Linked DNA regions of Sus scrofa. The protein of the gene in region 4 interacts with the protein of the main gene of each other region in a biochemical or structural test. Links are inferred from orthologs where the notes say so. Each region holds a gene or a part of one and is shown on either strand. Other genes may lie near its edges.

Evidence for each region.
Region 1: the proteins of VCP (region 4) and UBE4B form a complex in vitro, tested with the Homo sapiens proteins (2 studies listed by BioGRID and IntAct). The link is inferred for Sus scrofa from reciprocal best matches to the Homo sapiens genes VCP and UBE4B.
Region 2: the proteins of VCP (region 4) and NGLY1 form a complex in vitro, tested with the Homo sapiens proteins (2 studies listed by BioGRID). The link is inferred for Sus scrofa from reciprocal best matches to the Homo sapiens genes VCP and NGLY1.
Region 3: the proteins of VCP (region 4) and ATXN3 form a complex in vitro, tested with the Homo sapiens proteins (5 studies listed by BioGRID and IntAct, with this or other methods). The link is inferred for Sus scrofa from reciprocal best matches to the Homo sapiens genes VCP and ATXN3.
Region 5: the proteins of VCP (region 4) and HTT form a complex in vitro, tested with the Homo sapiens proteins (3 studies listed by BioGRID). The link is inferred for Sus scrofa from reciprocal best matches to the Homo sapiens genes VCP and HTT.
Region 6: the proteins of VCP (region 4) and NUB1 form a complex in vitro, tested with the Homo sapiens proteins (2 studies listed by BioGRID). The link is inferred for Sus scrofa from reciprocal best matches to the Homo sapiens genes VCP and NUB1.

The regions. Positions count from the first base shown.
Region 1 is NC_010448.4:70,407,496-70,412,339, reverse strand, and holds part of UBE4B (ubiquitin conjugation factor E4 B), read right to left. Parts: intron 4,577-4,844; coding exon 4,348-4,576; intron 3,885-4,347; coding exon 3,489-3,884; intron 2,659-3,488; coding exon 2,509-2,658; intron 1-2,508. UniProt on the Homo sapiens protein: Ubiquitin-protein ligase that probably functions as an E3 ligase in conjunction with specific E1 and E2 ligases. May also function as an E4 ligase mediating the assembly of polyubiquitin chains on substrates ubiquitinated by another E3 ubiquitin ligase.
Region 2 is NC_010455.5:12,674,371-12,679,812, forward strand, and holds the start of NGLY1 (peptide-N(4)-(N-acetyl-beta-glucosaminyl)asparagine amidase), read right to left. Parts: upstream 3,397-5,442; 5' UTR 3,322-3,396; coding exon 3,191-3,321; intron 1-3,190. UniProt on the Homo sapiens protein: Specifically deglycosylates the denatured form of N-linked glycoproteins in the cytoplasm and assists their proteasome-mediated degradation. Cleaves the beta-aspartyl-glucosamine (GlcNAc) of the glycan and the amide side chain of Asn, converting Asn to Asp.
Region 3 is NC_010449.5:113,638,755-113,643,598, forward strand, and holds part of ATXN3 (ataxin-3), read right to left. Parts: intron 712-4,844; coding exon 547-711; intron 33-546; coding exon 1-32. UniProt on the Homo sapiens protein: Deubiquitinating enzyme involved in protein homeostasis maintenance, transcription, cytoskeleton regulation, myogenesis and degradation of misfolded chaperone substrates.
Region 4 is NC_010443.5:235,865,747-235,871,175, forward strand, and holds the start of VCP (transitional endoplasmic reticulum ATPase), read right to left. Parts: upstream 3,967-5,429; 5' UTR 3,690-3,966; coding exon of another isoform or gene 3,673-3,689; intron 3,467-3,672; exon of another isoform or gene 3,100-3,466; intron 1-3,099. UniProt on the Homo sapiens protein: Necessary for the fragmentation of Golgi stacks during mitosis and for their reassembly after mitosis. Involved in the formation of the transitional endoplasmic reticulum (tER).
Region 5 is NC_010450.4:1,920,286-1,925,129, forward strand, and holds part of HTT (huntingtin), read left to right. Parts: intron 1-449; coding exon 450-532; intron 533-1,700; coding exon 1,701-1,828; intron 1,829-1,914; coding exon 1,915-2,044; intron 2,045-4,343; coding exon 4,344-4,499; intron 4,500-4,844.
Region 6 is NC_010460.4:5,901,208-5,905,509, reverse strand, and holds part of NUB1 (NEDD8 ultimate buster 1), read left to right. Parts: intron 1-2,419; coding exon 2,420-2,566; intron 2,567-3,741; coding exon 3,742-3,837; intron 3,838-4,253; coding exon 4,254-4,302. UniProt on the Homo sapiens protein: Specific down-regulator of the NEDD8 conjugation system. Recruits NEDD8, UBD, and their conjugates to the proteasome for degradation. Isoform 1 promotes the degradation of NEDD8 more efficiently than isoform 2.

The DNA.
Region 1 (4,844 bases), on a different chromosome or scaffold from region 4:
TTTGAGATTCTTTTTGACCTCTACTCAGAATTGATCATTTCTAAACTCTGGAAAGATCAGGTTTCATTTCAACAGCCCACAAAGGTCCTGTCGATTGACTGGAATGGAATTTTGTAAAGAAGGACTAAAACGCTGGCACTTTCTTGCTAAGGACCAGAGTAGAGGCATGGACTCTGGGCAGTGAAATCACCGGTGACAAATGACAGCAGCAAAATCCTACTGGACAGAAATGGAGAAGGCAGAGGCAGCACGGTGTGGTGGGAGGCAGGGGAGCTCTGGGCTCTGCCTTGTTCTAGTCACGAGCCAAACCCCCCTCTGACCCCCCTCCCCGGCAGTTACGAGGGGTGGGGCTGTGAGGATGGGGGGTGCGGAGAATGTGTGCTGAAATCAGACAGCAGGCCTAGCACGTGATCCTCAGTATTTGCAGTTATGAGTACATAATCAGTAAGTTTTGTTTCTCCTTGTAGGTATGGAACCTAGATCTGAGGCAAGGCTGGAATGTTAGAAGTCTAGAAAGGAGTTAGTAAGAGAAGCACGCAAAAAAAGGTGGGGGGAGAGCTCCCTGGTGGTCTAGTGGTTAGGATTCAGCACGTTCACTGCTGCGGCCGGGACTCAATCCCTAGTCTGGGAACTGAGATTCAACATCAAGCCACCATAGGAGTTCCCGTTGTGGCTCAGTGGTTAACAAATCCGACTAGGAACCATGAGGTTGTGGGTTTGATGCCTGGCCTTGCTCAGAGGGTTAAGGATCCAGCATTGCCGTGAGCTGTGGTGTAGGTCGCAGACACGACACGACTCGGGTCCCGAGCTGCTGGGGCTCTGGCGTAGGCTGGCAGCTACAGCTCTGATTCAACCCCTAGCCTGGGAACCTCCATATGCTGCAGGAGTGGCCCAAGAAAATGGCAAAAAGACAAAAAACAAAAACAAAAACAAAATCAAGCCACCACAGGCCATGGCCAAAAAAAAAAAAAAAAAAAAAAATAAGCAGCAGGCCATCTGATATCTTTGTCAGAGAACATTGGAATTAAACAGGCCTGGGAGAAAGAGCATTTATCCTACAGATAATTTACAGTAAAACAGACGACAGAGGACTTTTATCATATACATAGAAGTCGACTGCTAACACGAATGCCTGCTCCATTTCTATGATCATGGAACAGGATTTTATCTACATGAAAAAACACTTCAACCTTTGGGAAATTCACCTGAGAAAGAGTGATACAACTTTCAACCTAATACAAATATCAACCTTACGGAGTCAACAGTCACCCTTGCACCCACATTCCCCTCTGGCTTTATGTACTCTCTAATGATTCTTCAGAACACTGTCAAATTTAATGAAGGGTACCTAACTCCTACTGCTGTCTATTTATAGCCTGGAGTTATTTTTGAATAGCGCTGGGCACAAACACCAACTGGTCCAGAAGAAACTTTGATTTAAGAGCGAAATTTTAAGACAATGAGTCAGAGGGTTAGCAAGAAGGTGCTATTATATTTTCTTGCTCAAAGTCACCTAGAAATCCCAAGCTGTCTTTTTAACTCTGTTTTCAGGGGTGAACTTTCAGCAACATCATGAACTATGTCTTGGCCTCTGCTGCTATTTCACATGCTGTCCAGACAAAAAGTGTGTGGCTTCACCAAGGCCAAGGAGGTGACTAGCAAAACTTAATATCAGAAGTAAAAGCAGATGGAGTTCCCACTGTGGCTCAGTGGTAATGAACCCGACTAGTATCCATGAGGATTCAGGTTTGATCCCTGGCCTCGCTCAGTGGGTTAAGGATCCAGTGTTGCCACGAGCTGTGGTCACCAACGAGGCTCAGAGCCTATGCTGCTGTGGCTGTGGTGCAGGCCAGCAGCCACAGCTCCAATTTGACACCGAGCCTGGGAACTTCCATGGGCCACAGGTGCGGCCCTAAAAAGAAAAAAAAGTGAAAATAGAAACACAGTTACACCAGACAGTATGAGTGACCCCATGTGCTCTTTGATGGACTGTCCAGACTGAGCCAGAGAGGGATGGACAGACAGACATTTGAGAATACACACACACACACATCCCAGCCCCTCTGCCATTCCTAAACAGGAGCCATCCATGCCACCAAACATAAGAAAACATGCCTCCCAGAGTTACCTATTGCCCATATCTGGCAGTGTGCAAGAACTCTCCTGCAACAGATAAAGGAAGGGTCTCTCATTTTAGATCTGACGGTGAACGAACTTAATAGGGCCCTTTCAACGGTTGTTCGTGTTTTTGACAAATGATCTGATGTACGTTTTCCTCCAAACTTGCCAGGCAACAAACAACGACGAAAATTTTCCTGTGCACCACCTCACCCCATGAAAAGGTCCTGAGGTTTTAGACACATGCACGTTTGGCACATCTCAGCGGTCCAGGCCACCTCGTTGGACCCTATCCTGTTTGGATGCAAGGCACACATCTAATGAGGGCTTATGAAAGTTAGTTCCTAAGCACCTACGCACATGCAGGGTAAGACTCCACTCCTCTGATACCTGGACCCAAACGGGACACAAGAAAACTCATCACCACCACCACCACCTTCATCAGCACCATCGGCACCATCACCATCTTCTTCTCCATCTTCGTCACTACTGTCCCCAGAAAGTGCGAGGAAGAGGAAGGAGAAAGGGGTGTCGTACATACTACCGTAACAAAAGGAAAAAGGTCATCAGGGAACAAAGGCAGAATAAGAGAAGGAAAGCTTTGCAATCGCTGGCCTATTCATTAAACCTTATGCGAAAGCTTTGCCTACGGACATGCAGAAAACGAATTCACCTCCACGACATACACGCACAGGAACGTGGCGGGGGAGGGGGTGGAGTAATGGAATTCCCGTGCTGCTTCTTTCTAAGGGGCTGAAAACAAAGTGTGGAGGCATAAGCACTGGCCCAGCCCCAGTGACCAGAGGTGAGGGATTTGGTCCCACAAGCCCTTGGTCTGACTGTATTTCAACTATGATGGGCAAGAATACAAAAACAGAAACGTGGGCCTGTGAGCCCCAAACTCTCAAACACAAACTGCTACGGTCTCTGAGACGCATGTGTTACGAGGAGTGACGTGTGACCTAGATTTCACAACTAAGTTACTTCTTTTATTTTGCACAGGAAGCAGGAAGAGTGAGGGAATGAAGGGAAGGGGTGCAGAATGGAGCAACCCAAGAAGCTCCCCAGTGGCCTAGGGGTTAAGGACCTTGCTGGGGTCACTGCTGGGGGTGAGAGTTCGATCCCTGGCCCAGAACTTCCACATGCTGTGGGCACAGCCCCCCCCCCCCAAAGCACAACTCATACTTCCTGATGTTATCAAAGCCTGGCAGGAGCACGGACTGGGGGCGCAAGCCTCCCACACTAAGTTAGACACACAGCAGAAAACACACAGAACTGAGGTCAGTGTCACACGACAGTTCTTCCAAACCGTGTTAACCTCCTTTCCCTGCAGTGCACACACACACCCGGCTCTCCTGCTGCATAGATACCTAGGGGAGCTCCTGAAGGAGGCGGGCCGTCTGCTCACAGCACCGGGGGAGGCGGACAGCAAAGGCGGCCCCGCACTGGAGGATCTCGGTCCGGAGGAGCCGGCGGGCACTGCTTGAGGGCTACTAGCCAGGGTGGGGAGGCCTGGGGAGCCGGACAGAAGGCAGAGGCTCGAGGCGCGCGGGGCAGGAGAGGGAGAAGACCCCCAGGGGTGGGTGACCGTGTAGGGACGATACCGCGGAGACGGGGACTGGCTTCCTGCCGGAGCCCCGGCACCCGCGCCATGAGGACCTGGGGCTGCCTGGCTGGCTGCCCGGGAAGGGGAGGCCAAAGGCGGACTCGTCATGGGCCCAGAGCTCCAGAAACTCGTGCGGGGGGCTGGACTAGTTTCATAGAGGCTACATGAGTTGAGAGAGGGAGGAAAGAAGAGAAAATCGGAGAAAAACTTGAGAAAAATAACTAAAATAGAATATACTGTGTTTTTAAAGGATAGTATAATTATACCTCTTATCCCTAAGCATTCAGGTAAACAAATCTTCTAGTTACCTGTCTAAATAACTGTGCTCTAACTGCAGGGCGGATCTAGAACCTACACGTAAAATATGAGAGAGCTTTCTTTCCTGGGAATAATATTCTATGTACAGCCATTTATCTCTAAATTTGATTTACCAACAGCCTAACCAAGGAAAGCGAAAGAGACCAATCTAGAAAAGACAACACCTCCTGCAAAGAGTCGACCCATCCCCGAAAAGACCACACACGCCACGGTCTCTAGGACTCGGGCCCGGAATGAACATTCCTGGCTGTCACATGCTCCACGGCTATTTTCCCACCACTCGGGTGTGCGCGAGCCACACGGACCTTGACAAGGAGCTGGCGCCGAAGGAGCCCGCGCTGCAGAACATGGGGCTCGTTCCTGGATTGGAGCCGGCATTGAGCAGGAGATTTCTGTCTGGTGACCGAGCTGCCGCTGCGATTGGCTGGGATGTGGCTGTCAGACTGGCAAACGGGTTCTCATCTCTCGTCTGAGTGGACATCATTAGTACTTCCATTAAAATCTGGCCAATCAGGTCCTTAAAATCTGAGAACACTGTTGGAAACACAGAACGAGCGAGAGGTTACACATGGTTCTCCGCGTACACACGGGCCTTAAATAAGCCAATGTGGACCAGGGAAGTTCAGGACGATATCTTGGATGGGATTCTGGAACCGGAGAAAGATGCTGGTAGAAAACCTAGTGAAATCCCAATAAGGTCCGGAGTTGAGTTAATTATTATATCTTAGGTCTGGGAGTTCCCATGTGGCTCAGTGGATTAAGGATCTGGCGTTGTCACCTCTGTGGCATGGGTTTGATCCCT
Region 2 (5,442 bases), on a different chromosome or scaffold from region 4:
TCACGTTCTTAGGAATGGCTGACTGGGATTTAACCCCCTTGGTTTGAAAACAAAGCTTACATACACTGCACCATACAAGAGGCCAACAAACTCACCCATTCTCAGTTAACAACCTCTCAATTTCTCCAGGTGTTAGTAGTAACCCAGGTGAGCAGTGTGGGAGTTATTCTCTCCTCCCATTACCAACTCTTGGCATTCAGTATTCAAGAACTGCCAATCCATGCCAATTCCTATCCTCTCTCCATTCCATGAACAGCTAGGCTTGTGCTAACTGCAATAGCTTCAGAAATGAATTCCACGCCTCAAATCTTCTTATATCATTATTATACATGAAACCCTATGCTTTTTTTTGAGTCTAGAAACTAACAAATGCTCGCTCTTACCTATCATGTCAAACACATGTTCTCTTATCAAACCTTTGTTCTGAAATCTTCTCATTAGGCCCCCCTGCTATCATCTCAAGTAAACATGTAAGTGCTTAAACGTCATCTTGGAATTGTTCTCTAGATTTTATGCAGTTTCCCTCTCCCAAGCATATTTATTTTCTTTAAAGGAAGAAACCACTTTCCATTCCTGGCTCCTCCCAATCACACCCAGCACAATTTGTAACCAGTTAATCGTGTGCAATTTGCAAAGGAAATTAGTGGGAAATCGGAAAAAAAAATTTTTTTTTTTGGTTGCATCCTAGGCATGCAGAAGTTCTCAGGCCAGGGATGGAACCTGAGCCACAAAAGTGACAATGCCAGATCTTTAACCCAATCCTTAACCCGATAAGCCATGAGGGAACGCCCATCAAATTTTTTTTTTTTTTTTTTTTTTTTTATCTTTTTGCTATTTCTTGGGCCGCTCCCGCGGCATATGGAGGTTCCCAGGCTAGGGGTCCAATCGGAGCTGTAGCCACCGGCCTACGCCAGAGCCACAGCCACGCGGGATCCGAGCCGCGTCTGCAACCTACACCACAGCTCACGGCAACGCCGGATCCTTAACCCACTGAGCAGGGGCAGGGACCGAACCTGCAACCTCATGGTTCCTAGTTGGATTCGTTAACCACTGCGCCACGACGGGAACTCCAAATTTTTTTTTTTTTAAATGAACAGAGCACATTTTCTAGGGAACCCATGTAAAAGGCCAGTAAAATCATTATAGACTTTTAAAAAGCAGATACTGAAGTAGATATTCACTTTTATCTATAAGTTAATGAACTGAAAAAAATGGTTCAAACCATAGCACATTGGGCATGCACATTAGTATACACTTCAGTCAGCAATTTCATTAGCTTTGTGACTCTTAGTTGTGGAACAGAAATAAACACCTGGAGCAGAAATTTAACTTAACCCAAAGTATTATTTTCACCTGTGTATAGTGAGGAACGTTGCTGTTAAAAAACAAAACAAGACAAAACAAAAAACTGCCCATGAAACTCTCATCCTATAAACACTATGTCAGATCTTGAGGTAGGAGCAAGTGATTTCAAGACTACAATCTCTTGTACAGTCCCTTATCTTTAACACTAATAAATTTCCCAAAACAGCAAATGAAACAGAAAATTGTGGTTTTTCTCTACTCTCAAATAAGTTAGATTAGCATACCTGTAATGCAGTGTGGCTAAGGGGTCAAAAGTGATCCAGGGTTTTTCTCTTAAGAGACAAGCAAGTCACTGGACTTGGAAGGGAAAGAAAAGGTGGCTGCTTCTCCCCTCTGAAGACCGAAGGAGTTTGAATTATAAGAATATGAGGGCAGGATTTAATACTCTTACCTAAGACAAACTTAGAAAGGGTAGTTTTTTATACCATCTCCACTTATATGAGTTCCAGACTAATTCCCTTTTTAGATAAAAACCTTTCAAGAAACATAAGCCATATAAAGACTGTGACCTGAATTGACAGCATGCCTCGCTTTTTCTTAGTTTGGTAAACATTCATAATGATTATAATGCAAAGGATTTCCGTCCTCAAAACACCTTGATCTCATCACTTGTGGTTTCACTGGACTGAAGGCAGAACTGAATCCTCATTACAAGGCCACCTCCCTTTTCTGAATAGTTAGGTTTAAATAGTTTGGTGGCTTTCCAGGTGGGAGGTCCTGGCTCTGGAGAACTCAGCCTGAGAGTTCATTCAAGCAGAGTCCTCCAGCATCCTTGCACTCTGAAGAGCTGTGAGACCTCCCAGGGAAGAGAAGGTGATAGGAGAAGGTGTCACAGAAGAGGAAAGCAGTCCCCACATAGGTCACAATTGTGCAGCCATGTGCACTGTGTACACTGCAACCCTCAAAATATCTGGCACATAAGGGCTCAATGTTTTTCCTTCAATTCATTTTAAAATCATTGTTACCTATACAAACGCTATTATAACTGCCATAGGTTAAAACACTGCACTTGTAACGAATGGCTCTAAAACTGCGTCCAGTGAAATCTATAACCTTGAAATTGAGAAGGATTTCCTTTTAGACTTCAAGCCAATATAGCTACCGCTTAGAAGAGTCAGCGCACCAGGGGCGAGGGGGGCACCAAGAGCCCATGTAATCACGGTGAACTGATGATAAACGAGGTGACACCACTCAAGTACCTGGCACCTGGTGCTCCTTTAACCCGGGCTCCGCTTCCCTCCCCACATCAAGTCCCTCAAGACACATTATTTGATCTAAGAGGTGAGGGAGGTGATGATTCAAAATGAATAATAAGCTTATTTCCCAGTTCCCCAAATCTGTAAAGTCGCTCAGAGATCTAGAAGTATGCTAGTGTTCCCAGGAAAATGAAACAAACTACTTTTCGCCAAGGGTATCTTCGCTAATACTACAGTAGTACTATGCTTTACTGCTGGGATATTCACAAAACGCTGGGCAGGAAAATTTCGTCCGTAACTTCTGAAAAGCGTGTGGCAACTGAAAGCACCTGCTGGGTAAAATTCTCGCAGTGTCAATGAAACCCTGTTACCGCTTCTGTCCCGAAACGAAGACGGTTCAACGCCGGACCCGAGACCACCGCCCGGGCGCCCCTTCCCCTCGCCCCAACCGGGACCCAGTCCTACCCGCTCCCCGATAGCGGGTGTCAGGTCCCAGGAGCAGCGAGACAGCCCGACGCCCATTCCGGCTGGGCTTGGGCCGGCCGCGCCCATCCCGGCCTCACCCCACCAGGGCCGGCCGGGCCCCCCGAGACCCAGACCGAGCAGGTGCCCCGCCCGCTGCCTCGCACCTGAGGATGTTATCCGCGTAGGTGAGCAACAGCTTGGAGGCCTCCAGGAAGGTCTCCGGGGTGTTCTGGCAGAGCTCGGCCACGGCCGGGGAAGCGGACCCGGAGGAGCTGCCCAGCGCTGCCGCCGCCATGCCTGAGCGCCGCGGCCGCCGCCCCCCACGCCGGGTCCGCACTGAGCAGGCGCCTCCGCGGCCGCGCGTCGGAGGAGAGCGGGAGGGCGGGGGCTCGGCCGGAGGGCGGGGGCTCGGCCGGAGGGCGGGGGCTCGGCCGGAGGGCGGGGGCTCGGCCGGAGGGCGGGGGCTCGGCCGGAGGGCGGGGGCTCGGCCGGAGGGCGGGGGCTGGTCTCCAGGGCGGGGCGGGGGGCGGTTGGCCTGGAGAGGGGATCGGCGGGGAGGCGGGGGCTACCCTCGGGCAGGGTGGGGGACCGAGCTTTTCTAGGAAGGACGGGGGAGCTCGGCTGGGTGGGCTGGGGGTTGTCTGGGGAGTGTCAGGGGTTTGGACCATGAGGGGCCAGGTCGTCAGGGCCCAGGAACTTCGACCAGAAGACGGCGGGGTCCTGGTCGTCCTGGTCCAGGGGCTTTGGCCACGGGTGTCTGCTGGGAGGGGCCGCGGGGTGGGGTTGGAAGGGCTGGTGGGGAGGAGCGGGAAGCTAGGGCCAGGGCTGGCGGGTGCTGGCTTTTGCATAGCAGAAACCCAGGTACCTCTGCGCCCCACCCCCCGCGGGCCATCCTCAATTGATCCGGCCAGGAAGGTGGGGAAACCCCCCTTTCCCCAATGAAACTGTCTTAGAGCTTCCTCCTCGCCGATTGTCAGGCCTTGCTAAATAAATGTGGATGAACGACCCCAGAAGGAAGCAGCTAACCATGTTCATGACCAAACGCATGGCCATAAACTATGCTGGGTTCTTCCTGTATGGATTTTTTTTTTCTAAAGAAATAAATGATTGAAAATTTCTTGCCTAAGTCCCAGCTCAGATAGGACGATGCCACTGTAAAGAAGTGATTTTCAAAACTGCAGATTGCAGCCTAGTGGGTTGAAAACTCTATCGACCAAAATAAAACACATACTCAATAAGGACAAAATAGAATGGAGGGGAAAGGAAAGACAGCAAAATCATGCATCCTATATTGTAAGGGTATGTATCAATTTGTGGCTTTGTTTTGCCAGTAGATCAGCGTCCTTTATTCCTCTTAGAAGATGAAGCCTAAACAATTTAATCCACCCTCTACCTCACCATGCCCTTGAAAGTATACTTTACCAATGGCTTCTTTCTTTGCAGAAATTTCTTTCCAAATCTCAGCAAATGCTTTTTTTGACATTATATTTTTGAGATGTATGCTTAAGCACCTTCTTTAAATGTTCTTGATGCTTTACCTTCAGTTTGATTTTTAAATTTGGAATTTTCTTCCAATATCTCTGAGCAAGACCCTGAACCATATCTCCCACTTCAGTTACCATTCATTTGCCAGATATATGTGAGAAGTTCTTAATAAATATGTAGGTTTTTGGACCAGCTTCCAAGAATAGTGTATTTAACTGACAGTGTGTTGCTAATTCCTATAAATAAATTTTCAGTGACTCTGTAGAATAGAGGTCAATGAACATTTTCTATTAAGTGTCAGATAATAAATGTTTAAGGCTTTGTGGCCATAGGGTCTCTTTTTCAATTATTTAACTCTGCCTCTGCAATTGTGGAACTGTAGGCAGTACAGTTTACCCTTGAACAAGTGTGATATTAGTGGCACCAACCCTTTGCACAGTTCTCTATACACATATGAGGTTCCTCTGTATCTGTGGTTTCCAATCTGGATTCAACCAACGGTGGACCTTGTAGTACTGTAGTATTTACTATTGAAAAAAATCCATGCCAAAAAAAAAAAAAAAAAGACCAAAAAGGAGTTCCCGTCGTGGCGCAGTGGTTAACGAAACCGACTAGGAACCATGAGGTTGCGGGTTCGGTCCCTGCCTTTGCTCAGTGGGTTAAGGATCCGGCGTTGCCGTGAGCTGTGGTGTAGGTTGCAGATGCGGCTCAGATCCTGCGTTGCTGTGGCTCTGGCATAGGCTGGTGGCTACAGCTCCGATTGGACCCCTAGCCTGGGAACCTCCATATGCTGCGGGAGCGGCCCAAGAAATGCCAAAAAAAAAAAAAAAAAAAAAAAAAAAGAAAAAAATCCACATATAAATGGACCCATGGAATTCAAACCTGCATTGTTCAAGGATCAACTGGGCTTTAAAATGAATGGGTATGATTG
Region 3 (4,844 bases), on a different chromosome or scaffold from region 4:
AAGCCGCTGTCGTCCATATTTCCAGAAGGCTGCTGTTTAATTCGGATCGGTTGTTAGGTGGGGGGGAGGTTGAGGGTGGGGAGAGAAGAATAAAGTGCCATTAGGGTGCATATTTAAAATAACATCCCGTTCATTCCCGTCTACAAAGTCGAGAGCCAAGTTGTAATTAACAAGTCAGATCCCCATAGGAGAACTGGTTCATCCTTTTCTAAAGAGCACCCATTGGAGTTCCCGTCGTGGCGCAGTGGTTAACGAATCCGACTAGGAACCATGAGGTTGCAGGTTTGGTCCCCGCCCTTGCTCAGTGGGTCAAGGATCCGGCGTTGCCGTGAGCTGTGGTGTAGGTTGCAGACGCAGCTCGGATCCCGCGTTGCTGTGGCTCTGGCGTAGGCTGGTGGCTACAGCTCCGATTCGACCCCTAGCCTGGGAACCTCCATATGCTGAGGGAGCGGCCCAAGAAATAGCTAAAAAAGCCAAAAAAAAAAAAAAAAAACACCAAAAAGTCCCAACAAAAAAAATGTGATTTAGTGAGTTTACAGTCAGTACCTGTAAAAATGTGCGATAGTCCTCACTAGTAACCCCTCCTTCTGCCATTCTCATCCTCTCTTCCTCATCGAGCTGGTGTGCAATTGAAGATAATTCCACAGGGCTGAAGTACTCTCCTTGCAATAGGTTATTCAAGCAATGTTGAGCACAAAGCGAGCCTTCTTGCTATTATTTCCGAAAGAAAAAATTCAAATGTGATTTGTTAAACAGATTTGTATAGCACTTTCCCCTCAAGAGAAATTTAACCATTAACTTCTTAACCCAGCCCAACTGTACGGTTTTAGCTTCAGACAAGCATGATTAACACAGGTACATGCATTTTGTTAACATTTATTTTAAAATTCTGCCCTTAACGAAATTACAATTACTTAGCTATATGATCGAAAACTTAAGAATGATTTATATTAAGTAAACATTATCTATTAAAGACACCAAATCTCCTATTTTACTAAAAACCCTAGCATTAACATTTAGCCTCCATCATTTTCAGTGGCTAGAGCAAATGCATTTTTAGCAATTCCATGGTAAATTACTAATGTTGAAAGGAAACTTTAATCCCTAGAACATTTGTCCTTCCTGTCTTTTTAAAGTATAGTTGATTTACAATGCTGTGCCAAGAACATTTGTTCTTTTAACGAGATAATCTTTACTCCATCTAAATGCGCGTTCATAGAATTTCAAATTCATGAACACATGAAGAATCTCAAGAATTGGTACAGTAAGAAAAATTCTGTTTGATGTTTATGAAGACTTGTAGCTATGGGAGTTCCCACTGTGGCTCAGTGGTTAACGAATCCGACTAGGAACCATGAGGTTGCGGGTTCGATCCCGGGCCTCACTCAGTGGGTTAAGGATCCGGTGCTGCCGTGAGCTGTGGTGTAGGTCGCAGATGTGGCTGGGATCCCGAGTTGCTGTGGCTGTGGCTGTGGTGTAGGCTGGTGGCTACAGCTCCGACTGGACCCCTAACCTGGGAACCTCCTTTTGCCTTGAGTGAGACCCTAGAAAAGACAAAAAGACTTGTAGCTACAGAGCCGAGATTCTCTGCAAGGAACTTCAAGGATAATTTACACAGTGTTGTGCAAAGAGGAGAACCACCCCCTGAGCTCACTTCTGGACAAGCCAGCAAGGTGGCTGCATCCAAGTTCAGCTCCCAAGAGATCACTGGCTTCCTGTTAGGGGCGTGGGGAGAATACAACTTCCCAGGGACCCCAGGGTCTTTAGGTGCTGGGCATCTGGCTTTCTCCTGCAACTGGCTGGCACCCCAAACCTAAATCCAGGTTGCCTCCAACTAAGCAGCCTGCTTATCACCCCTCTCCCACAACAATGCTGCTTTCCTGTTTCCCAATGACAAGGGAGACCCACAGGCGCATGAGACCCCTCCTTCCCTGTGAACCCAGCCTGGACTGGTCCCCTCAGGGAGATGATGGCAGAGAAGAGATCTTCTTCTGCTGCTAACCCTGGACCTCAAGGTTCTCCACTTCCCCAATAAAGTCTATTCCCTCACTCAGTCTGCCTGACATCCTGCAGTCTGTGCCGAGTTATCTGACCCCAAAGACCAACACCTGCAGGACACATCTCCTCCCTGAGTTCATGCTCTAGGAACAAAATTCAGCTGCAGAAAAAGACACAGGATATGTGGACTTAACGGACTAGGAATGCAGTGTAAGGCAGGGGGGCTGAGACAAGTTTATCTCCATGTTTCAATGGGGAATAAGTAGCTTGATACCAAAGAAGACAACATCTATCCCTTAAGTCACAGCCACGATGGTAAGAGAGGACTGTCTCCAGCTCTTTTTCCTTCCTTTCCTACTGCCACTGAATAATACAACGTGTTGGTTGAATAAAGCAACTCCCATTGAATAATTCAGTGTGAACTGAGGGGATAACAGATGCCCTTTATAAGATTCTGAAAAATAATTGATAAAAATGTGTGTGTGTATAACTGATTTACTGTGCTGTACACCTGAAACTAACAAACTTTCTAAGTCAACCATACTTCAATAAAATTTTTTTTGAAAAAGCACTTGAAATCAAATCTTATCTAAGGAAAACTGTATTGCTTCAGAAAATAATAAAGTTCTGTACTTCTAATATGATTTAACAGAAAGAAAGAACAAATTACTCAGTTAAAATTGGGGAAAAAAATAACTTTTTTCTGTTTTGGCTGCCCCTGCAGCATATGGAAATTCCCAGAACGGGGACTGTGTCTGAGCCAGAGCTGTGACCTACACGGCAGATGCAGCAACAATGCTGCATCTTTAACCCACTGTGCGGGGCCAGGATCAAACCGGCACCTCCACAGAGACAAGCTGGATCATTAACCCACTGTGCAACAGTGGAAACGCCTAAAGAAAATCTTTTTTTTTTTTTTTTTGTCTTTTTGCTATTTCTTGGGCCGCTCCCACGGCATATGGAGGTTCCCAGGCTAGGGGTCGAATTGGAGCTATAGCCACTGGCCTACGCCAGAGCCACAGCAACGCGGGATCCGAGCAGCATCTGCAACCTACACTACAGCTCACGGCAACGCCGGATCCTTAACCCACTGAGCAAGGGCAGGGACCAAACCTGCAACCTCATGGTTCCTAGTCGGATTCGTTAACCACTGCGCCACAACAGGAACTCCACACCTAAAGGAAATCATTTTTTTAAAGCCCCAAATGAGTCAAATTCTACACGGACCCATTGTAAAATGGGTCCATCTAAGAGTATTCATTTCCCTGCCCACCCCACCTCCCAACTATCCCCAGCCACCTTTTTCTCATCAAGCTTTAACCAAAACTGGATCGACGTTCACTTTGCTATAGTCAAAGTTCAGTGGTATTGAAATGCAATGGTCTCACGCCCAGACTTGTGTTGGAATCACAGGATGCACGAACTGCGTCTTCAGCTTTACCAAGATATCTTACAAATTCACAAAGGGTAACTGCAACCAAATCATTCCCTCACTGTCACCAAAGTCTTGAGGACCAACCTGAAACGAGTTCAAATTCCAAGAGACACAACTGTCTACAACAGAAACCATGCATAAACCCAAAGATGCGCTCAGAAATGGCCTAACCTGGGCCATGCAATCAACCCAGCAGCACTTCATCTCACCTTAGTAAGAGTAAGGTCTCACCTCTTCTTATGAGGTTCGGCGAACACGAGCATCTGAATAACAACAAGCCAGCGCTTCTCCAGCACCATGTGCCAGGTAGCATTCTAAGCACTCATAAGGCTGAGGCAGACACTTCATTATCCGCAAAGGCACAGGAGGAAACTGGAGCACAGAGATAACGAGTAACTTGCCCAGGATGACACAGGTAGTAAATGGCGGAGCTGGGATTCAAACCCAGGCAGAGGTTTCAAGTCTGTACTATTACCACTTCCCCAAGTCACTTATTGGAACGTGGTGATTTCTAAACTTCAAATATCCTAAAGATAGTTAAGAACCAGCAATCACACACACACACACACACACACACACACACACACACACACACACACAAACATATTGTCATAAAGTCAATGCTCAACATTTTTCCAGTATTTTCACTAATTTTAAATATAATCCCGGGAGTTCCCGTCATGGCACAGTGGAAACGAATCTGACGAGGAACCATGAGGTTGCGGGTTCAATCCCTGGCCTTGCTCAGCAGGTCAAGGATCTGGCGTTACTGTGGCTGTGGTGTAGACTGGTGGCTACAGCTCCGATTAGACCCCTAGCCTGGGAAACTCCCCCCCCCAAAAAAAACCACCAACAAGTTTGGTTATCGTTCTCAGTTGTAAACACATAAAAGTACTGATTCAGACGGCATAGTCACCTCACCAAGAGCAGTCAGCAAGAGATGTGATATAAAAATGACAGAAAGCAGGCACCAGAACTTAAAAAAAAACCCAAACCAAACCAAACCCCCGGGCAGTTGGTGGCCATTGAGCATTGGGGTTTAATTTAGGAACTGGAAAACTCTAGCCTTTGGGTCAAATTTAGTCTGCCCCTATGAATGGGTTTAACACTTTAAGATGATTGGGAAAACACACACATACAAACATGTGAGAACATAAATGACTGGCAAAGTCTAAAATATTTACAGAAAAACTGTTTATTTATTTTTGTCTTTTTGCCACTTCTTGGGCCTCTCTCGCAGCAAGCACATGGAGGTTCCCAGGCTAGGGGTCCAATCGGAGCGGTAGCCACTGGCCTACACCAGAGCCACAGCAACACAGGATCCAAGCCGCATCTGCGACCTACACCACAGCTCACAGCAACGCCAGATCCTTAACCTACTGAGTGAGGCCAGGGATCAAACCCACAACCT
Region 4 (5,429 bases):
TCCTAGCTGCGTGGCCCCAGGCGATCTTGTCCCAGGGTCAGGAAACTAAGATGACAAGAGTAAAAGTGGAGGCTGAAGAGTTCCCACTGTGGTACAATGGGATCAGTGGCATCTCTGGAGCGCTAGGACACAGGTTTGATCTCTGGCATAGCATGTTAAGGATCTGGCATTGCTGCAGCTGCAGCATAGATGGCAAATGCAGATGAGATCTGATCTCTGGCCCTAGAATTCCATATGCTGCGGGCAGCCAAAAGAGGGGGAAAAAAAAAGTGAAGCCTGAGCAATAATTAGAGAAATAAAAATAGTCTTAGACAGCATAGAATGGTGATTAAAAAGAGAAGCGTCCCTGTAGTCTGACTTGTTGAGTCTGAATCCCAACCCTGCCAGAGCTTAACTGTGATTTTGGGCAACTTATTTAACCTCTTTGGAGGCTGACGTCCTCATCTATAAAATGGGGACTATAGTAGTACCTATCTCAGAGTGTAATGAACACAAAATGCTCAACAAAATGCATATGGTATCAACGGTCACTATGATTAGCACTGCAGAACACAGCATAAGCTCTTTCTTTGCTAACCTTCTTATAGAACAAAGTGAGCAAGGCAACCTCCCATAGGCTCCAAGACCCACAAAACAAGCCCGGGAACAATAAAGCAAAATTATTAGTGCTACTCTCCTTACCAGATAAACCTGCTGAATGTCAGGAGCCTTCTACCTACCACAGGAATGCAAAGCACAAAGACCATCATATTTGAAAAAAAATAAATACTTGACACTAACAGATCTAGAATCTTCACCAGAACAAAGCTCAAGCTTAAAGGGAGTTTCACGGTAATCTTTGAAAAGACACAACTCCATGGAGCTGGTTCAAAAAGTCAAAACCAGAAGTTCCTGTCATGGCTCAGAGGAGATGAAACTGACTAGCATCCATGAGGACACAGGTTTGATCCCTCACCTTGTTCAGTGGGTTAAGGATCTGGCATTGCCGTGAGCTGTGGTGTAGGCTGAAGATGTGGCTTGGATCTGGTGGTGCTGTGGCTGTGGCTGTGGCACAGGCCAGCGGCTACAGCTCCCATTTGACCCCTAGCCTGGGAACTTTCATATGCCAAGGGCGTGGCCCTAAAAAAAAAGACAAAAAAAAAAAAGTCAATACCAAGAAATGTGAGACATGGGGCAAATCAAAATCCTCTCACCCAAATGAAGGTTGCCTAAGTCTGAACTCAGTTTACATTGTCTAAACAGGAGTTCCCTTATAGCACAGAGGGTTAAGGATCTGGTGTTGTCACTGCAGTGGTCTGGGTCACTGCTATGGCACAGGTTTGAACCCTGGCCTGTCCACATGCCAAAAGCACAGCCAAAATAAATAAATAAAATTTGTCTAAATGGTTTTTATCATTTCCTAGAAGCTAAGATCACTCTCCTGACACCTATTTCTCACTTGCCTCATCTCCAACCTTCATAACGAGTCACAGAGGGCTCTCCTTTTGAAGAGCTACCTTTTCTTAGTAGGGCTCAGGAAAACTTGCGCATTAACCAAAAGGAGGCGAGCCAATGGATGATGTAAAGAAATAATAAATAAAAAAGAGACCATTCCACTCAAAAAATTAACAAGTATATGTACATGTCAGGCACTGTTCTAGGATCTGGGGATTTTCAGTCAACAAAACAAGACAAAACAGTATTTCTATTGGAAATATTGCAAGAAAAAAAAGATGCCTATGCTTTAAAATACCAGGTAAGAAATTATGAGGCATTTACATCTTTTGGTCTTGATACACTCAAAAGAAATACAAATCCCATTCACCTAAAAAAAAATTGTAACCTTTCTGCTGACCTTCTCACATAGGTTGCCCCTTTACTCATTTGCTTTAAACTAGTTTCCAAAAGTGGCATTTCCTCAGCTTAAACTTGCCTCCCCAGCGCAAAAGTGTTAGGCACAATGCTGCAGAGTAGGCATACTCTTCCAATGCTTATCAACAAACACCCTGGAGAGCAAACATGGTCAATGTGAGAGTCGAGGGCAATTTAAATCCATCCATTCTCCCTCTCCTCCATGCATCAAAATACCCTCTAAGGGCTGTCCATCTTCCAGTTGGATGTATAGGATTAGGGTTAGAGAAATAAAATACCAGTTGCCTCTGGTCATCAGAGTTTGTATTCTAACCCCAAAGCTGTATTCTAGGAAAACCTCCAATCTGCCTACCACTCCTGAGCCCAGCACTGGAGATGACTGATATGTTCTGCCCTTAAAGTAAAGACCTTTAATTCTACATCTGTCCCCTGAGATCGAAAGAGGTAACCTCTAAACAAGGGAAGTCAGCTTGATCATGGGCTGACAACAGTCCTGGAGGCTCTTTGGGGACCTTCCTCTGGTTTCCTGCATGAGTCAAGGCCCTCTTCCAGGACCCCAGTGGGCCACAGGGGGCGTGGACAGAGTTCAGTTAAGAGTCATCAAGATGACCTAGAGATAAACTGTCTATGATGCCAGGTTCTAAGAATTTTCGACTTTTAGTACTGGAAACTAAAGAGGGTACTTTAAGTATTAATAAGCAGCCCTTTTCAATAGGCGCCTCAGTAATAAATACTTCACCTCGGTTCAGAAACTTGAAAAAAAGGAACACCTCAAAAAACTGAACTTTCAAGTCTGGAAGGTGCTTTGCATAGAAGAGTTTCCATAGGATGGCAGTGTTCTCCTCCCCCACCCCAACTCCCCCAGTATCTAAAGCTCTTGATTCTAAAATGGGCAGAGGTAGCCAGGTTTTATCTGATGCTTTCCTGAGGAATAGAGAGCTCAGGATTTCTCCACATAGGTAAAAGGCTGTGTGTGTTTGAGAAGTTAGGGCAACTCTAACCTTCACACCACAAAAGGCTGAAATCTAGAAAGGCCCACAAAATACGAACTGAGATTCGAATTTTAGCAAGAACCTAATGAACCCCACTTCCTAACATTATTGAAAACTGACTATAGCCTTCCCATATGAATAAAACAGGAATAATAAAGTATGAAGAAGGCCAGATGGGAAAGGCAGGGCCCGCCCTCTCGGTAACAGCCTCTCACTACTCAGGTCGTAGAGGATGCCAACCACGGGCCAGACCCACCCGGATCCAAAAGGGCCGTCGGGAGCTCCCCTGAGCTCGCCCGGCCTTGCACTGCTCCGGCCTCCTCCTCGGTCTCGGTCTCCCGGCTCCTAAGGCCTTCACGTGGCTCAAAGTCCACGCCCACCGGGCCCAGTTAGGGCGTCAGGCCCAAGTGGCCTGCACTCTCCGGGGACCAAAGGCCTACAACGGGTGGCAGACTGGATCGCAGGTGGACACCCCAAGGCCCCGGGGCTCCGTGCCGGCAGCGTGGGCCCTCAGACCTCACTAGGACAGGACAGCCGTTCGAGAGGAGCCAATCAGGCCGCCCCGGGCCTGCATGACACAGCACGATCCGGCCCAGGCCCCGACCCAGGCCCAAAGCAAGCCCCGCCTAGGGGGCGCACGGGTGCGCGGCCGGGCCCAGCGGGGTCCGCGGCTCCTCATTCGCCCCCTTCCTCTCCTTCCGTCTCCCTCCTTCCCTGTCTCCACCTCCTAGACGCGCCCACAAGCAGGCCTGGCCGGGCCTACCCAACGCAGGGGATCTCCCAGTGCGCGCACTCGCAGCGGGAGGACGGGGGGCGCGCACACACTCACTCAGCTCCGGAGGCCATGGCGCGCGCTTCTCCCGGCCAACGGCTGTGGCGGCCCGCAGGTAACGGCTACGAAGGGTGGCAGGCGACCGACTCGGCCGGTGCTCGGCTCTCCCGGGCGGAGGGTGAGCGGCAACGACAAACCCGCAGACGGCCTCCCTTTCGCTTCCTCCCAGAGGCACCAGGGCGGTAAGCGGGCGGGGGACGCTAGCGCCTGATCCGCGAGGGGGCAGCGGCAGCGACAACTCAAACGACGGCTGCAGACGCTTTGCGAAGACTGAGGCGAGAAGAGCCGAATCATCGGAAGGAGAGGTGCTCACAACTCAGCCAATCAGCGCCTGCCCTGGGTACTCCCGCCCGCCTCTCCGTGCCTCCTCTCCCCAGCAACCCGCGGACCAGAGCCAATCAGGAAATTCGCTTGCGGCCCGGCTCCCGCCTCAGGGATGCAACACGCCTAGTAACGCCACGTCAATTGGCCGCAACGCTACGCTTCCTCGACGGATTGGGACTCTCGACCAATCAACGAAAGGAATGGGGCCAGATCGACTGGCGAAAGGAGAGCCTTTAACCCTGGGAGGCTGACTCTCCCACTTGGCTCCAGTTCATTGGCTCCTGAGTTTATCCGGCTAGAAGAACCTGGCACAATGGATTGAACCCTTGTATTAGTCTAGTCCTTTTGTAGTGATAACCCACACACCCATTTTCTTCCAAAACCTGAGTATGCACTCTAACCCCTCTCCTTGCTCCTTCAAAACGCTGGCTCCAGCCACCTCTACTCCGGACTCTTTGGCTAGCATTCCAGCTCTTAATCCACTCTTCCCTGTTGTCATTACACCCTCTGGTAATCCTAATCCCACAAGCTTTATAGTTCCGCAGGGCTTGGAGGTATGTGCTCCTTCTTACCATTGGGTATTAATATTAATAGCTATGCAAAGGACACTCAATTCCGAAGAGGAATCAAAAGACAACCACAGGTAGTTCTCTTGTGGCTCCGCAGGTTAAATGACCCACGTTATAACTGCAGGGGCCTGGGTCACTGCAGTGGCAGAGGTTCGATCCCCGGACCAGGAACTTCCGCATGCCTACCATGGGCGAGGCCAAAAAAAAAAAAAAAAGGAAAAAAAAATAGCAACCGCAGAACACAAACAGATTCAATAGAGCCTAAAGCAGAAGAAAAAAAAAAAAAAAACATTGCTGAGACTTGATGACCTTGGACCCAAAATGCCAGCTTGCCCTGACTATATTCAACAGGCAGCTTTGGTGGTATGGTGACTTAATTCATCCTTTACCCTCTAACCATAGAGACACATTTGACTAAGACCATCGAATCCCAAATTTGGATTAGGGAGGGGGTGAGGTGTCATTCTAACAGACTCAGAGGTCTGCTTGTCCCTTCCTTCTAAGAATCACCTTCCAGACCTACCTAACTCCACTCATTCTGTCGCCTCACCTAGGATCCTGGGTTTGCAGGGGTACTCGCCTTTTTGGCAAGAAGGACTAAAGGCACTGATTCCTGAGTAAGGATTCCTGTAGCCCTTTCTCCTGAGGATCATAAGATAGATGATATTGGGAGAGGGCATCTTAGACAACCCGCACTCAGCTGAATCAGCCAGCTGTGAGCCTTCCCACTCAAGTATGTGCAGTAAGCAGACAGAAGATAGATATCAAATTTTATTCAAAACATAAAAAGGTAAACAGGAAAAAAAGGTACTATCAATAAAGTCAGTGCCTTGTTGTTGGAAGAGGGGCTTTTTCTGGAAC
Region 5 (4,844 bases), on a different chromosome or scaffold from region 4:
GCCCACGTTAAAGAGCGGGGTCGGGGCCCAAGGGGGTGGCGACGGCCTTTCCGCAGAGCTGGGTGACGCCCTGCAGGAGGCAGCGCGCAGGCCCGGTGGCCCAGGGTGTGGCAGGTGGCGAAGTGTGGGCTGGTGGGGAAGGAGGGCTGAGGGGCAGCGGCCTACATGGCTGGACAGTCCAGGCCCTGAGGCAGGGTCCCAGGAGGGCCTGGCCGCACGGCTGTCACCCGGGCACCCAGAGGGCTCGCTTGCTGGGTTGTCGCCTCGTCTTTAGCCGTCTCAGCTCGGCCCACAGGCGTTCCCGTTCAGAGTCTGCAGCTGGTTTGTTTCGGAGAAAGAATGATTTGGCGTGGCCCCGCTGGCCCCACCAGCTCAGTGGCTTGTCAAGTGGCAGAAACGCCAGAGCCGTCGGGCCACGCAGGTGGCACTCATGCACTCTTGCCCCGCAGGTGCCCTCATCAGCCACGACAGACTCCTGCTGCAGGTCAACCCCGAGCGGGAGCTGGGGGACACCAGCTACCAGCTGGGCCAGGTCAGTCGCCCCGCCCTCGTCTCTGCCGTCCGTCCTCCGCCTGGCCCCCCAGCGCCCTGGAGAGAAGGCGGGTGCGGTTTGTAAAGAGAAGGAAGCTTGACGCGTGTGTTTTTACCTAATCTTCCGTCTTCCAAGAAGGGCTTGAGGTCCTGTCAGAACAGGTGTGAGTCGGTCCTGGCGAGGGCGGGGAGACGCTGGAGGACCGGGCTGCAGGCTCGGCCCCGTGCGTCCCGGCCGCCTGCCCCGAGGGAGGTGCGATCACGCGGCCCAGGGTGGCGGACGCTGCACTCGGCCCGTGCACCTCAGCCTCCTGGTTGGAAGGTGGGCGGGCAGGTACCTGCGCTACTCAGGCTGCGCGCTGCCTCGCGGCCTGCTGCTGCTGTACTGAGAAGGCGGGCGTGCGGGCCCGCTTCCTTTGTAGCTATTTCAGCAGACCTTGGTCGGGATAAGACGGGGTGCTCGGGGTTCCGTGGTTTTGGTGGAGCAGGCTGTGCGCCAGGGCCCTGGGGCTCTGCATCCACATCGGCCGCTGAAGGCAGTGGGGCTGCACTGGGTGGCTCTGAACCCAGGTCCTGAGCCACCACCGGCTTTGGGGCCAAAAAGCCACTCTCCCTTGGCCTGAAGGCTGCTTTGGGGGCAGAGTTGACCTCCAGCCTGGGGCTGCCCGCCGCCAGCTCCAGTGCAGGGTGGGGTTGGGGCAGTGCAGGGCACCAGGGCAGGGCTCGGTCCCACCTGGCGCCGCCCCCAGCGGGCCTCCCCGCAGGCTCCCAAGTTCGTCCCCACCTTGCCCCCCAGGTTAATAAGCACCTCACCCTTCTGCACCTGTAGCAAGTGATTCAGAAAAGGGGGTCCCCAAACGACTACCAGGGAGAGAACCAGTTTTGAAGAGAAACCCTGTGTTCCGATTCCATTTTCTGCTGAGACGCCCTTGGGGAGTCGCTCAGGAGCAGAAGCGTCCTGTCTCCGGACTCCTCCCCTCCTCGGCTGCTCCCTTGGGTTTGGCTGGCCCTCATTCTGGCTCTGCAGTCCTGAAGGTGGCGCCCTCCAGCGTGCCCGCCCCCGGCCGTGCAGAGTCCCGTGGGTCTGAGCCCTGCCGGGTGGGGGGTCTGCTGCCCCTGAACCCCCGGCCGCCGGCCCGAGGGTTGAGCCCGACTCGTGTCCCTTGCAGGTGTCCATCCACTCCGTGTGGCTGGGGAACAGCATCACGCCCCTGCGGGAGGAGGAGTGGGATGAGGAGGAGGAGGAGGAGGCGGACGTCCCCGTGCCATCCCCGCCCACGTCGCCGCTCAACTCCAGGTTCCCGTCTGCCTTTGGTCGAGAGCAGCTGGAAGCGCGCTGGCGGCAGGCGGCTGCAGTGACCTCTGTCTGTGCTCGGGTTGCAGGAAGCACCGCGCTGGCGTTGACATCCACTCCTGCTCGCAGTTTCTGCTCGAGCTCTACAGTCGCTGGATCCTGCCGTCCAGCGCGGCCAGGAGGACCCCCGTCATCCTCATCAGCGAAGTGGTCCGATCCGTGAGTTCGCCTCCCGCCCCGCGCGGCAGCGCCCCAGGTGCCCGTCCCCGGGTTCCGAGCCCGCGAGGGAGCGGTTTTCGCATGTCCAGCCCCTGGCGGGCTGGGCTCTGGTAAGGCCGGTGGGGCTGTCGTGGCAGCGGCTCGACACAGCACTCACGTGTCACGATGTGTCGCTCACACGGCAGCGTCACGTTCCTGTGAGGCCTGAGGCGCACCGTCCTTGTCCACCTCTCCCCGGGCCCGGCTCCGTCCCGTGACCAGCAGTCCCCCTGAGAAGCGCCCATTCGGAGCAGGTGTTCTCCAGCTCTTGGCCTGGGGGTCCTGTCCGTTCTCGACACGGCTGGGGACCCCAGAGAGCACTGATTTCCGGAGGTGGTACCCAGCCGTACTTGTCGTATCGGACGTTGCCTCTTCCGCGCAGGCGTCTCTGCGTCACCTGGGTCAGCGGTCCAGCAGGGAGAGGCACCTGTCCGCGGGACCCTCTGCGTTGTCTGTGCAGCACAGGGTCCATAGTGTTTTCACCCAAGAGATGTCGCTTTCTGGTGACGGCAGACTCTTTTTAGCCTGCTTTTCTCGGGGTTCTCATGTGGCACACTGGGTTAAGGATCCGGTGTTACCACGTAGTGGCTGGGGCTGCTGCTGGGGCGTGGGTTCGATTGCTGGCCAGGGAGCTTGCACATGTCATGGGCGTGGCCAAAAAGACCAAAAGCCTATTTTTCTCTGTACTCCTTTGAAAGTTTCTAAATTGTCTCATATTTGGTCAAGTTGGGATTTTTAAGAACCTAATTTTCAATTTATAACGTAAGTAGTTATAAATTGATTTTTTTTTTTTTTCAAAAAGTCAACTGTAGGCACTGCTAAAGATCTTAAATTTTTTTTCTCTTTTGATTGCCACATCCGTGGCACGTGGAAGTTCCCACACTGCAGTCACAGCAATACCAGGTCCGAGGCGCATCTGCGACACACACCACAGTTTTCAGCAACGCTGGTGGATCCTTAACTCGCTGAGCGAGACCAGGGTTTGAACCCGCGTCCTCATAGACAATGGTCCTTAACCTGCCCAGCCACAGCAAGAACGCTTTAAGTTTTAAAAAAGTTCCCTACCTATCCATTTAAAATAACAGTAATGATACCAATTTCTGTTTAAAAATGATTTTTTTAAACAGTGAGAAGAGCCTTATTTTGTTCTTTTGCAAGCTCTGGTGTCTGGCTCCTTAGGTAGAAACCACCGGGCTTCTCGTGCCTGCTCTGCTCTCCCTCTAACATCAGGTCGCTCTAGACCGCGCCGCTGTGCAGTCGGGGAAACCCGGGAAAGAACGGCAAGGGGGCCTTAGCGTTTCTATAAAAACCGTCTCCACCCGTGACCCCCAGAGGCCCGCAGGCATCCACGGGTCCCATCCCCGTAAGAACTGCTCTTCTGGACAGTTTGCTGAGTCTGTTCAGCTCACCCCTGGCCTCAGAGGAAGCGCCAAGCCCAGCCTTGACACACGCTCCCAAAGAACGGGCCTTCCTGCCCCCTCAGGGCTCATTTTCAGATAGGATGCGAAAAACAACATTTTTGGGAAACAAGAATCATTGCCAAAGCATTGATTTCTGAAGCAATCACCCATTTCTCTATTTGGGGGCTTTTGGGAGCCTGTCCTCTCGGCTGCTGGGACCTTTGTGGGGCTGCTGTGGGTGCTTGTTCCCGCGCAGGCCGCAGAGTGCATGGGCTTGCGGGGAGCGCAGTTCCACGCTGGTCTTTGTGTTCTGTTTTTTCTTTCTGGGGCTGCACCTGTGGCATATGGAAGCTCCCGACCTAGGGGTTGAATTGGAGCTTCAGCTGCCAGCCTGCAGCACAGCCACAGCAACTCGGAATCCTTAACGCACTGAGTGGGGCCAGGGAGTGAACCTGCATCCTCACAGACAGTATGTTGGGTCCTTAACCTACTGAGCCACAGTGGAAAGTCGTCGTCTTCTTCTTTTTTTTTTTTTAATGAGAGTCACTTCACAATTTGTGTTAGTTTCAGGTGTACAGCAGAGTGATTCAGTTATACACACGTGGGTGTGTATGTATTCCTTTTCAGATTCTTTTCCCTTGTAGGTTATTGTAAGACATGGAATGTAGTTCCCTGTGCTCTGTAGTGGGTCCTCGTGGGTTATCAGTTCTGCACACAGCACTGTGTATCTGATCATTTACCCTCCCTACGGCCCTTTAAGATGCCAGTTCTCCTGGCCAGGCCTCCTGCGAAGCCACTTGGACCACGTGGTGTGCTTCCTGGCGGCGTGACTCGCCCCTCTGCCCCGTGTCCATCTCCAGCTTCTGGTGGTCTCTGACTTGTTCACGGAGCGCAGCCAGTTTGAGATGATGTATCTGACGCTGACGGAGCTGCGGCGGGCGCACCCCCCAGAGGACGAGATTCTCCTCCAGTACCTGGTGCCCGCCACCTGCAAGGCGGCCGCCGTCCTCGGCATGGTAAGCCGGAGGGTGCGGGCCTCTCGGGGCAGATGTGGGCAGTCGGCTGAGTGCGTGGCGCCAGTGCCTCCAGCTGGGCTCCTGGACCCCTGGTTCTGTCGTGTCCCTGTCCCCAAAGAGGCTGGGCTGCACGGGTGGTGGGGCATGTGGCCGACTCCTGCACAGTCAGCCCTTCCAGTTGTGCTGGGGGCCCCATGCTGCCCGGCTGGCAGATCCGCCCCTGTGGTGACCTTGTACCTGTGCCCCCCCCCCCAGATACTGAGGTCTGTTGTCTGTTCTGAGTGGGGCCGGGGTGGGGGGGGCGGCAGGCAGGCCTTCTTCTGAGCCCCTCCTCCTGAGTGTGCC
Region 6 (4,302 bases), on a different chromosome or scaffold from region 4:
AAGGAAGGCAACAAGAAGCCCGATTCAAAGGGGCTTAACACCCAGTAAAAAGGGCTGGGGGAGAATTTAGCAGCCTGCCTAATTCTAAGGAGCCCAGAGGCAGGCTAGGTGTCAGGTTAGCCGATTCAGTAGCTTTGCCCCGTCACTGGTTTCTGTCTCTCAGCCTCCTCTGTATTAGTGGTGTCACCCCCTCACACCAAGAGCAGGGTCTGGGTCCCAGCATCCTCAGACTCCTGAGCCGTCCACTCATTGGCCATCCTTGGGCCAGTTGCTGTGGCCAGGGGACTATGCCAAGACCTGAGTGGCAAGCCTGGCTCCTTAGCGTAGGCTGGTCAGGGCCTCCTCGGGGAGCTGGTAGGCCGCCCACACCCTTGGGGCAGCTGGGGTGTCCCATAGGACGTGAGCTCCATGGACCTGCTCCTCCCAGATCCTGCAGAGCGGAGGGTAACATGTCATTGCAGGAAGTTGGTCTTTTTTGTACATCGTGACCCTGAGTACAGGACAGTTTCTCATCTGGCAAATGAAACTGGGGTCCCTTACGGCGCTGAAGGGTTGAGGGGCCCTGAGGGGCAGCGTGGCCGGTTCCTAAGAGGTGTTCACCCCTCAACACGCCCATGCAGCTGAGCTCCCTGAGTTTAGAACCCAGTTCTCCACTGTGTCCACAGACAGTTGAGTGTCATTCTCTTTGTCATTTCTTTGGTTTATTTGCGTAATTCTTTCTGGTATAAAGAGAAATATCAGAACATACTTGAGTTTCATCTTGTGTATCTCCATGATTACAAGATAACTGAGTCGTAATTAAGGAGAAAGCGTTATTTGAGGCTGACTTTGTGTCGGCTCTGAGTTAGATGATGCCCAAGCCCCATGGCTGCTGGCTGGCCGGCAGCAGCGTCCTCTCTGCTTGCATGTCCCTCGTGTCCCTTATTTAGCCTCTTGAAATATGCACGGAAGAAGCTGAGATTGAAATCAGGGTGGGGTGGAGTCTTTTACACGAGGTGTATGTGTGTATAAAAGCCTGAGCTCGAGCGATACAGAGTGAGGTTGCTGGCCTGTGTGGGTTTGTGGTGGAGCAGGTAAGGGTCAGCCCAGAGGACAGCCTGGAGGAGGTGGAGCCCCGAATAGGGACACAAGGACCAGCGCGAGACTGGGTCTGGAGGGGTCTCTGTGGGTTTTGGTCTGGGTGAGATGAGGAAGCCTGTGCTGCAGGGGTGGAGTGGTGGAGACAGGCCGCGAGGAGGCAGGCAGTTGTAGGTCGTGCTGGGGGCACAGACAGACAAGGAGCCGGATGAAGGGGGGATGGCAGAGCCGCCGTGCCACCCTTTGTCCAGGCTGCTCACAGTAGCGTCTCCAGTGCTGTCAACAGGAAATTACGGTCTGAGGTCGTAATTGGAGAGGTTGGGGCATCGTCCCCTCTGCCGTGTCCTACTGCCTCCGGGGATGTTGGGGTCCTCGGTGAGGATTCCGTTCTTCTCCGGGAGCCGAGGCCGTTTTCTTGCTGTAAAGTGTTGAGGGGGCCCTTGTGGCCTGGGCTGAGCCACGGCCGTGGCAGCAGGTACGTCCAAGAGGAGGCTCTTCTCTCTCTGCTCCCTGTCCTGGGGGGGACTGGCCATCTCTAGGAGGCGGAAGCCCTCGTCCCAGCCCCGCTGTCGGCCATGACCTTGACCAGGTCACTTAAATGTCCTGAGAGATTTCTGTCTTCTCATTGGCAAGATGAGGAGGTTGGATTCCATTAGTGGTTTTTGAACTTTAGTTTTTTGTTTTTTCTTAAGCAGCGAAAATCCTTTTAAAATGACACTTGTTTTCAAAACCAAATCAGAATTTTCCTGCCGAGGGCGGGGGCGGGGAGAGACTGCAGCTTCTGCAGCCTCACTCACTGCTGCAGCAACACAGGCGCCTCTGAGACTTGGGGCCGAGAACCATGGGGGTTTGACAGCCTTTGTCCCTGGACCTTGAACATTCTGGGGGTTTTAATTAAATGGGCCGGCAGGCCCTAGACGGCCCCTCAGTTCTTGCTCCTGGGAGACTGGAAGGCGTGGAGGGGGATCGGCGGCCCTGGCGCCGTGCGGACCGTGCCCACCCCGTCCAGGGCCCCGCATCCAGAGTCACGTTTCAGCAGGATCCCGCTGCCTCACTGGAGGCTGGGAGGCTCCCCCCGCAACCCCCGGCCCCCTGAAGCTGCATCTGCGTCTCGGGGCCACACGGGTGTGCTCACTGGCTCCACAGCCTGTCCTGGTGGTGGTGGTGGTGACGGGGAGGGGTCTCTGCCCTCGGGGCCCTGACGCCGCTGACGGCCTGGGCGGGACCGGTGGAGAGAAGGGCGCCTCTCCTGGCTTCCACTTGGCTCGGCGGCCACGAGGCCTGCAGAGCCCGGCTTGCTTCTCCACCGCCACCCCTCGGTGACTGTGCCGTCTCCCCGAAGGAACTGGCCCAGATCAGGAAGGAAGAAAAGGAGAAGAAGCGGCGCCGCCTGGAGAACGTCAACTGTCTGAAAGGGATGGGCTACTCCGCTCACGCGGCCAGGCAGGCGCTGCACCAGGCCGCCGGCAACCTGGAGGAGGCCCTCAAGGTAACGCCCCGCCGCCCCTTCCCGCCGGCACCCCCGCCTCGTGCCTGCCTGCCGGGGTCTCAGGGCCCGAGCTCCTTGTTGGTCGACCCAGTTGTGGAGCCAGATGCACAGGACCTGTGCACAGGGAGGCGGAGCTGGCGGCGGGGCTCCTCTTGCACCACGGGCTTCGCAGTAGCTTGAAAGAAAAGGTGATTGAAGTTGTTTTGAATTAACTTTGACTCGATTGAAGTTATGCTTTTTTGAATTAAAATGCTTTGAGTATCCAGCTCTATCATTTTAGTCAGTAGTACACTTGGTGAAGGGCTTTATAAAGAAATCCCCTGGGGTTCCCGCTGTGGCTCGGTTTTCCAGTGGTGGTGAGTACGATGTAGACCTGCTCGCGCTGCAGGCACGGAGCAGCTGGGGGTCCAGAGCACCCCGAGTCCGTTCTGTGTGGATTTCCCCACGAGATGAGGATTAGCGCCTCCACCCTCAGGTTGTGCAGGGGCAACTGAATTTAATACAGAAGTGTCATGTGAATTTCTAGTTTGATTGGAAGAAATTAAAAAAAGCAAAAAATTCTGAGTATGTGGAGGGACTGATGAGCCTCAAAAATGGCTTTTAATTATATAAATAGCACATAAATACATTTGACCAATATAGAAGGACTTAGTGTTAAAAGGGAAATTCCTCAACGAGCTTTTATGAGATCACGCGTCATGCGACAGTTCAGAGGTCAAGGGTCCAGAGAACTCTGGTGTCCTTGACGTTTGAAATCCAGAGCTGGTCACCTCCCAAGAGACATTACGTTGGGCCGCCTGCACGCAGCCAGCTCTCTGCATTCTGGTCACAGCCTTTTGGGACCTTGTCACCCCAGAGGCTGAGTTCCAGCAAACCCTCTGCTCTCCTGGAGCCCTTCTCCGCCCGCTCTAGGGACTCTGTTCCTCCTCCCTCGGGCGACCTTTGTGTCTGGATGGTCTTGTTCGTCTTCCAGACCTCAACTTGGACATGACCTTGGCCGCAGCAGCTGCCCCAGCCCCAGCCTTTTCTCTGCTTCCGCAGCGCCCTGGGCCTGGGTCACCGCCATGTCCCCACCCTTCTCTGCCTGTCCTCTGGCGGGTCTGCCCCCACATCACATACACAGGCGCCACTCAGCAGCTGGTTGTGATGTGTGACGGGTGATCCTCTGTTTCTAGATTCTTATCAGTAACCCTCAGCTGTGGTGGTTAAATGATTCCGATCCTGAAACCAACAGCCACCAAGAAAGTCCTTCTCAGGAAAACATCGACCAAGTAAGTGGAAGTGCGGTGTGTCCCCTCTGCCTGCACAGCCTGTGGAGTGGGGGCTGGCCAGGGGGGACAGCTTGGTGGCGGGACAGGGCCGCGTCCTTGGCTCCCCGGGCCGCGGGTGTGAGCTGCACGCCGAGGGGCAGCCTGGCCTTCAGAGGAGATGCTGAGCAGCCCCGGGTCTCCGGCAGCTCTTCTCTCAGGCCGGCGTCTGCGGCGACGGCGCTTTATGTCACCCTCGCCTCCCCCACGGCCCCTTCTCCTTGCTCTGCCCGGGTCTCGCGGGCACTGGGCGGGCAGGGATGGGGACCAGGCGAGTCCCCGCGCAGACAGGTGTGCCCGGCTCCCTCTCCCCGGCGGCCGGGGTGCGGGCAGCAGCTGCCCCCCGGGCCCGTCGCAGCGCCGCCTCGCTGTCCTCGCAGCTGGTGTACATGGGCTTCGACGCGCTGGCGGCAGAGGCGGCCCTGCGGC